2 linked regions of the Coturnix japonica genome follow. The protein of the gene in region 2 purifies or fractionates together with the protein of the main gene of each other region. This does not show direct contact. Links are inferred from orthologs where the notes say so. Each region holds a gene or a part of one and is shown on either strand. Other genes may lie near its edges.

Region 1 (3,655 bases), on a different chromosome or scaffold from region 2:
TGTACCCCAGCAGCTCTTCAAGTGCTTATCTTCTTAGTTATCATGATGAAGCCTCCTAGAAACACTTCTCACCAGATTTTAGAAATAATAACCTAGGACTTATAAATTAGGTGGAATTCCTTAAATGCTTGGAAAAAATGATATTCTTATCTTAAGGCTCACAAGAATTTAAAAGGCACCTTATTTTCTGAAACCATATGGAATTCAGAAAGAAGAACAACGTAATTCATAACCCATTTCAGCATGTTAGTACTGTAAACTCTAAGACATATATTGACAAAGAAGTAAATGTCATAAAGAGCCAAAAAGCACAACTGCTATGGAACATATTGGCATAAAATACAACAATAGCTGTCACTGACTTTATTTTTCATGCCCTTTCTAATTTTGTATTACCAATCAAGCAAGAAAGAGCACAAACACAGCTCAATAGCAGTCAGATAATAATGCTCATGTCCCAGAAGGAAAGGTTCTCATGTTATTTCCCTATAAGCAGAAAGATTAAAGATGAGGTATGATGCAAATCTGGCAAAGAACTTAGCTGCAGAAAAAAATAAATAAATCAAGAAACTACTAAACACAGATCTACAATTTCCTTTCCTTGATCTTGATGTGCTGTGTAGAAGTGGAAGGTAGTTTTTAAAACACGTACTACATCCTTCTCATAGTATCCAATGTCCACCCAGTATTTTTCTAGTTTTCCATTCTTAAGGCATCTAATGAAATTATATTATGAAACACTGAAGTAATCAAATTCCTTCTATTCCAAGACTAGACACCAGTTCAGTTTAAAAATAATAAAAAAAGATACGAGGAACTGGAAGCGTTTCTTGACTATTAATATATTAAATCCTTATTACAGACAAAACAGATCCCAGCTTCAAAATAAACTATATTAACAGAAAAAAAGAAAAGGCATATATGTTACTATAACTCAAACAGTTGCTATTTGAGGATAAGAAGTCACATTTCTCAAAGTGAACTTTTCTTTTCCCCCTATGCTTATGTTTAAAACATACGTACTTCTAGACTCAAAGCACTTATGTAATGACCTTTATTGCTGCATGGCAACACTTATGAAATACAGGAAACAGCTGTAGGAACCTGCAGGCTCTGAAACAATTTGCAGCACATATATGAATAGTTAAAATTATTAGATCTTTATTCCCTGAAGTAAAACATTTTTGATTATCCAATAATAGAGAACATTATTAGTCCATTTGTTACTCTGTGGTTTAGAAGCCTCAGAGACCAATGCAGTATCACACTACATTTCAACCTTTTCATTTGCTTCCAATAGTGTCTAAGATAGACAATAACTACAACTAAAGGCACTAAGTTCAAAGTTAAAGGTTTTCCCTAAGGTAAACCATTTGTGCAAGCCACAGAAACTACTAGCAGTTTTGAATACTTCAACCTAAAAGGGGACACAAATTTCATGTACTGAAAGCACAGGCTCTCTAAAGGTCAAAACGAAAGCCAATTTACACTTGCCCTTATACCCCAGCATTCAACAAATAATCAAATCTCATTCACGTTGTCTTTGAGGAGTTGCTGACAGAATTCAGTTCTTTCCAATCTTTAGAAATTTCTGACAAAATGTATATACTTTCAAAAAATGACAGAGCATTCTGCCCAAAAATCAGCTTAACATTGAGTAAAATTACTTTACAAAAAAACAAAAAAAGTTTTAAAATGTAAAGTCTGAGATGATTAGCAACACAGTATCACCAAACACAAGAGCTGAGATAGCAAATCTCACCTTGGTGTATTCGTCTTTGGCCTTGGTAAGCATCCGTAAGATATCCACTTCTTTGTTATTAGTGGAATTCGTGATCATAGGGGACACTCCTGTTCCCGTGCCCTGCTGTGCTTTGAATTGCTCTTGCTGAGTTAGGCTGAAAGTAGGAGGTGAGAGGAGAATACACAAGACAAAGACAAAAACAGGTAAAATATAAAAAGTTTGACTACAACTACTTTACAAGAATTTTAAAAAATTTGTTTTGATTCCCTCACCTCCCAAACTACATAACAATACAGTTAAAAATCTGTATTCAAATATTTATAATAAAGCATAATTTGACCAGGTGCAAGAAACATTTTCTCCAGTCTAAAATAGAGTGGGTCATACCCTAAAATTTCCATAACTCAGTCACAATTTCCATACCCAGAAGGAGCGGGGAATGTATAATGTTATTCAGTTCTGCTGGTGGCAGAGGATGGCAAACACACACAAATCAGTCATTAACTACCAGCAAATGACCAATTTCCTGCCCCAGCTGCTTTATTATTATTGTAGAATGCTGAGAATTAAAACACACAGCCAATTGGCTGAATGATAGGGTATTTCTCTTTTTCTAATCCATGTACAACACCGCTATTATAAATGACTACACATGGTTTACAATACCATGAATTCTCTGCAAACTAGTTTTTATTGTGGTAAATTACCAGTTTGAGAGTACCTAATCACCACCAACTGAAACTTGAGCTAGTTAACTAAAATTAGCTGTCAAAAAAATGGGTTTCCTAGGGTTCACTGCTTATTTCTGGAAATTCATCCCCATCAATTATTCCTTGGGTCATAACCGAGTCAGTTCAGAGCTGCAGAACACAGAGCAAAAGCAACAAAAAAACCCAGACAAAACCCCACCACTGTTACAGTCGGTGTTTAACAATGTTTTGTCACTGCAAAATGAAAAGCAGCAGTGAATTCTTTAAAAAAAGATGTAGGGGAAACATGACTAAATCCCTATCCAGTATTCTAAACAAGTCCAATCTGGAACACAGTGGCAGAAGAGTCAAAGCACTTTGCTACGTAATGAGATGTACAAGGATGAGCCTTATTTGGACTTGTACTGTAGGACACGAAAAAAGGCACTTGATATTTGGCAGTCAGAATTGATATCACTTCTTCGGCATGTTTCTGGCTACGGAAACACGTTTGCTAAGCAGGCTGTTAAGACTGGTACGGATGACATGAAAAGGAGAGATTCTCAGTTCTGACTATGCTTTCACATTGCCCCCTGTTAGTACCTAATGATGATGGCTTGACTGTATCAGCCTCCCATGGCTTTCCTGGGATGACAAGGACTGAGCTTCAAATCATTCCTCTTCCTATCCCTTACATGAACTGTGACATAATGGTAAGTCCAGCCCTCTATACCACAATTACTACATCTAAAGTGTCCATTCCTACAGCGTCCTTTTCCTACATAAACTTCACATTATACCTCTATAAAAAAACAAAAAATGCAGATTATGTACGTTGATAAAATCTGTAAGATTTCAGCTCCTTCCTCTTCCAAGTATGCAAGAAAACCTGTAGAATGTAGTCTTAAGAAACAAATCATTGCAAACAAGGCAGTCATTAGATCAAGCAGAGGGAAAAACAGATGAATGAGACCTGTCAATCCTGAACAAATGGAAAAAGCAGTGACAGTGAAAAAAACAGCCACTACAGTGTCAGTTAAAAAGCCATCCATTATGTTGTAAGATTAATACAGTGTTGTAGGAAATCTTCATCTCCCATTTCATTGCAGAATTAAGGTTGCATAACATATGTAAAATATTCTTAATATGTACATAGAAGTTATGAATTCAAAGCTAATTAAAGCCTTTCTTTATTCTCCTAATGCAAAGTGGATTCTTTACA
Region 2 (3,655 bases):
CAACTTGTCAGCCACTAACACAAAAGTGCTGTAGAGAGAAAACTCAGAATGACTCACATTCCTGTGTGCCCTGCTTGAAGGTGTCATTGATTTGCTGAAACATGGACTGGCAGCTCTTCTCAAAGGCCGGCAACACGATGCTCTGGAAGGCTTCCCTGTAGGCTGACTGGATTGGGCCCTGCAGGGTATCGGCCGTTGCCCTCACAACGCTATCTGTAAGGTTCTTACAAGAACACACAGAAGATACTCCAGATAATTAACAACAGCCTGCTGCAGGACAGAGATGTGAACAAACACTCTACGTCCCAACCACACACCCACACCAGGTAAGGAGAGTCCTGTCTGTCAGGAGCACACATTCCCTGAGCAGCTGAACTCCTTCCTCTAAGCAGCACCATGACTACAGCAGGCAGAGCACATGATTACTGAGGGGCTGCCCAAGAAAAATGACAATTTCCATGCAGTTCAGCTTGAGAGCAAGGGAAGGCGGTGCAGCCAGGCATGGCTTCTTTCCTCCTCCTCCCCAGCTTCCCTCCCACAACCCATCACTGCCTACTAATGCAAGCGACAAGTTTCTGCTCCTAAAAGCATTCAACACTTGGCTGAGTAAAGTGACCTTAAAAGCTGCTCTCTAGTGAGATCCTCCAGTATAGAGCACGAACAACTTGGTAAATGGCAGAAAGGACTAACAAGGCAAAGCAGGCAGGGGAGCACACAATGAGCTTGCTTTTTCTGATGAAACCAGAAGAAAGCTTTGATTGCTGTCAGCTCTCCTGAGCTCAGACCCACCTGGAGATTCAGGTAAGAGGAAGAACTATGAGGAGTCACTACCCATGCAGGTGACAACTCAGTGTCCTCAGGCATTGCTACAGTCTGGTTCTCCTTACCTTTGATTTCACCAGCTTGGTTATGTTCTCTTTCAGCGTCCCCTCAACAGCAGTGAGCTTGGTGGCAATGGTGTTACTTAGCTGGCCAGCAACTGGGTCCAAACTCTTGGAAATGCCTAGGCACAATACAAACACATCAAAGCTGCAGCTTTAAAAGCCTGGTACCACACATCAAAACCTGACAAAGAAAATAGAGTCAGTCTCTCCCCACGGGTGCCAAATGACACAGGTAGGGAAAAAGGTCACAAACTCTGGCTTAGGAAACTAAGGCTGGACACGACACCAGACCTCAACAGAGAGGCTGTGGAATTTAAGCCTTGAAGGTTTTAAGGACTCATCCAGATGAAGTAACAACTGACCTGATCACGCCAGGACAAGTCTTCCTGCAACCTAACTCCTACTTTGAGCAGTGCCAGCGCTTTCACAGAGCATGCCTCCCACCTCCCCCAGAATCCACCTTCAAAACCCAGGCAGCAGCACTCACACTGGGGTACTGTTTTCTTCATTTCCTCACGAACAGTCCTCTCCAGACGGTTGCACACAGCATTGGAAAGGGTCTGAGAGAGCTGCTGAGAGAGATGCTCCTGGAGCTGCCCGTTGCGCTGCTGTCCTTCTGTCAGTGCTCGATCCAGTCTCCTCTCTAGCAAGCATGCACGTTAAGGAGCACAAACAGCTGACAATAAAGTAACCCATCAAAGAACTAAGGGGCAAGATCCTCCAGTGTATTAAGAAAGTAGTGGCAAAAAATAAGGAATGGAACTACACAGTCACTTCCCAAAGCACTGCAGTGCTTATGGCCTTCATAGGTTGGCTGAAGATTTAGGGGTATGGACAAAGTAGCAATGCTCTATTCTACTTCAAAGCTTCTTGCCCTCAGGAACGGACTGTGAAGTTACACTGTTACACTGCAGCCAGGCCTTCTTTTACAGCACCTATAGCCCATGCTGTTAAGACTACTGAGCTTTCTTAGCCTTCCTCATGCCTCGCAGCCTTCCACTCCAATTTCCAACAAGGATACGCTCCTGCTCCTGCTGGGAGTCGATCACCCGCTCCATGTGGCCCATCAGCGAGCTCTGAATGGCATCAAGGTGATCTGTGAGCCTCTGCAGCAGCTCCATCTGGTTCTGACGCAGCTCAGAGAGCTCACGCTGTTGGCTCCTCAACACACACATCAGCTCTTCCTGGAACTCCGGTGTCACCTGTGTGTGGAGAGGATGAGCACTCGTTCCTGACAGGACCTGCCAAACTTTCTGCTAGGTGTTAAAGCCCCATGCCAGAGACAGAAGCACAACATACAAAGCAGAAAATTGGGCCAGCTTAACGCCAATTTCTAAGACTTTTGTAACGATAAATTAACTGATAAAGCCAAGTACATGAAGGATCTGCATGGATCTCATAAATGGTTGCTTAGAATACGCTGAATCGTGTAGATTCAAAACTCTCTTCTAAGCTCTGGTGTTAAAAAAGAAAATAGGAATAAGCAGAACCAATTCACTTTTGGCCAAGTACAGAGAGGTCCTTATATAAAGGAAGGATGTGGATCTAAGGGCAGTTTAAGAAGTGCACTTAACTCTGCTGAGCACATTTTCTACCAGATAAAGAAGTGCTATCAACAGAAGAAACATACCCCACCAGGCCAGTCCCACTGTGATCATTAGTTTGCTGGGAACAGCTTACCCTGCTGCCAATGTATGCAAGCCATCTTAACAGGGAAGAGGAAATGAGGTGTGGAGTTTGAAATGATACAGAGCTTGTGAGAACACAGAAAGGAAAATCAACATGCAAAAGTGAGAAGGAAGGAAGCAGCTTCCTCTCTGCTGCGCAAGCCACAGAACGGAGCAATGCCACGCCTGAGAGCAGAGGGCCCATGGTACTTAATAGGGATGATTCTTCTCTCAGGTCTTTAGTATGACAGCAATCAGCTGAGGTATCAGGCCCTTGGAAGGGATGGCAGAAGCAGCTCTGACTCACCTGGTTGTTAGATGATCTTGGTGACTGGTTCACATCCCTAGAGATAAAGACAGAGAAATGGGGACTTAATTCTGTCAGTTAACTGCTCTGATTATCAGAAGTGCCCAAACAGATCACTCACTTCACAGGTTATTTTAGATTTCACACCCAGCTCTAACTTCTGTTTTGCCTATTATAATGTGAGTGCAACAGGAAGGCAAGGAAGTCCCGTCCCCACTGCTCTGTGCCTCCATCATTTGCAGTATTCACAGGCCCTTAAGCCCCTTACAGACTGGTCCCTTCACAGGGCTGCTTTCAACACCCAGCAGATCTGAGCCAAGTCTGAATGGGGGCTGTTAAAAAAGAACAAATCAGTCTTGTCTGAGTTCAAAGGCAGGGAAGGCTCTGCCAAAGAGCTTTTGAAGGTCTCCCAATATTTCAGAAAGAAAAAAACCCAGTACTCATTTGTGAAACAGAGAATTAATGAATTTCAAAACATTTCTAACTATTCCAGTTCGGAAGGTGAAGAAACCTTCAGGAAGAAAAAAAACCAACTACTAGAAGGGAAGTACACATTTGCATCCATTCAGCACCTTTACAAAGACCGAGGCAAGAGAAATGAAAAGCATTTCTGGGTGTCACAGTGAAGGACCACAGCCAGAAACTTAATGTCACGAGCTATCTTTTCTTTTGCAACCTGCACAGCTAAGGCTTCAAATCAGGGAGCCAAGAGAGCACAAGAGGAGAAAAGCCCCTTGCAGAAGCTGTGCTACTTTCCCCCTCGTTAATACAGACGGGTTGCTCTAATTTCTAATGGG

Evidence for each region.
Region 1: the proteins of EDC4 (region 2) and DCP1B purify together in Homo sapiens (affinity purification with mass spectrometry; 3 studies listed by BioGRID and IntAct, with this or other methods). This does not show direct contact. The link is inferred for Coturnix japonica from reciprocal best matches to the Homo sapiens genes EDC4 and DCP1B.

The regions. Positions count from the first base shown.
Region 1 is NC_029516.1:51,549,118-51,552,772, reverse strand, and holds part of DCP1B (mRNA-decapping enzyme 1B), read right to left. Parts: intron 1,899-3,655; coding exon 1,763-1,898; intron 1-1,762. UniProt on the Homo sapiens protein: May play a role in the degradation of mRNAs, both in normal mRNA turnover and in nonsense-mediated mRNA decay. May remove the 7-methyl guanine cap structure from mRNA molecules, yielding a 5'-phosphorylated mRNA fragment and 7m-GDP.
Region 2 is NC_029526.1:1,597,413-1,601,067, forward strand, and holds part of EDC4 (enhancer of mRNA-decapping protein 4), read right to left. Parts: intron 2,896-3,655; coding exon 2,859-2,895; intron 2,087-2,858; coding exon 1,906-2,086; intron 1,528-1,905; coding exon 1,372-1,527; intron 1,004-1,371; coding exon 888-1,003; intron 224-887; coding exon 58-223; intron 1-57. UniProt on the Homo sapiens protein: In the process of mRNA degradation, seems to play a role in mRNA decapping. Component of a complex containing DCP2 and DCP1A which functions in decapping of ARE-containing mRNAs. Promotes complex formation between DCP1A and DCP2.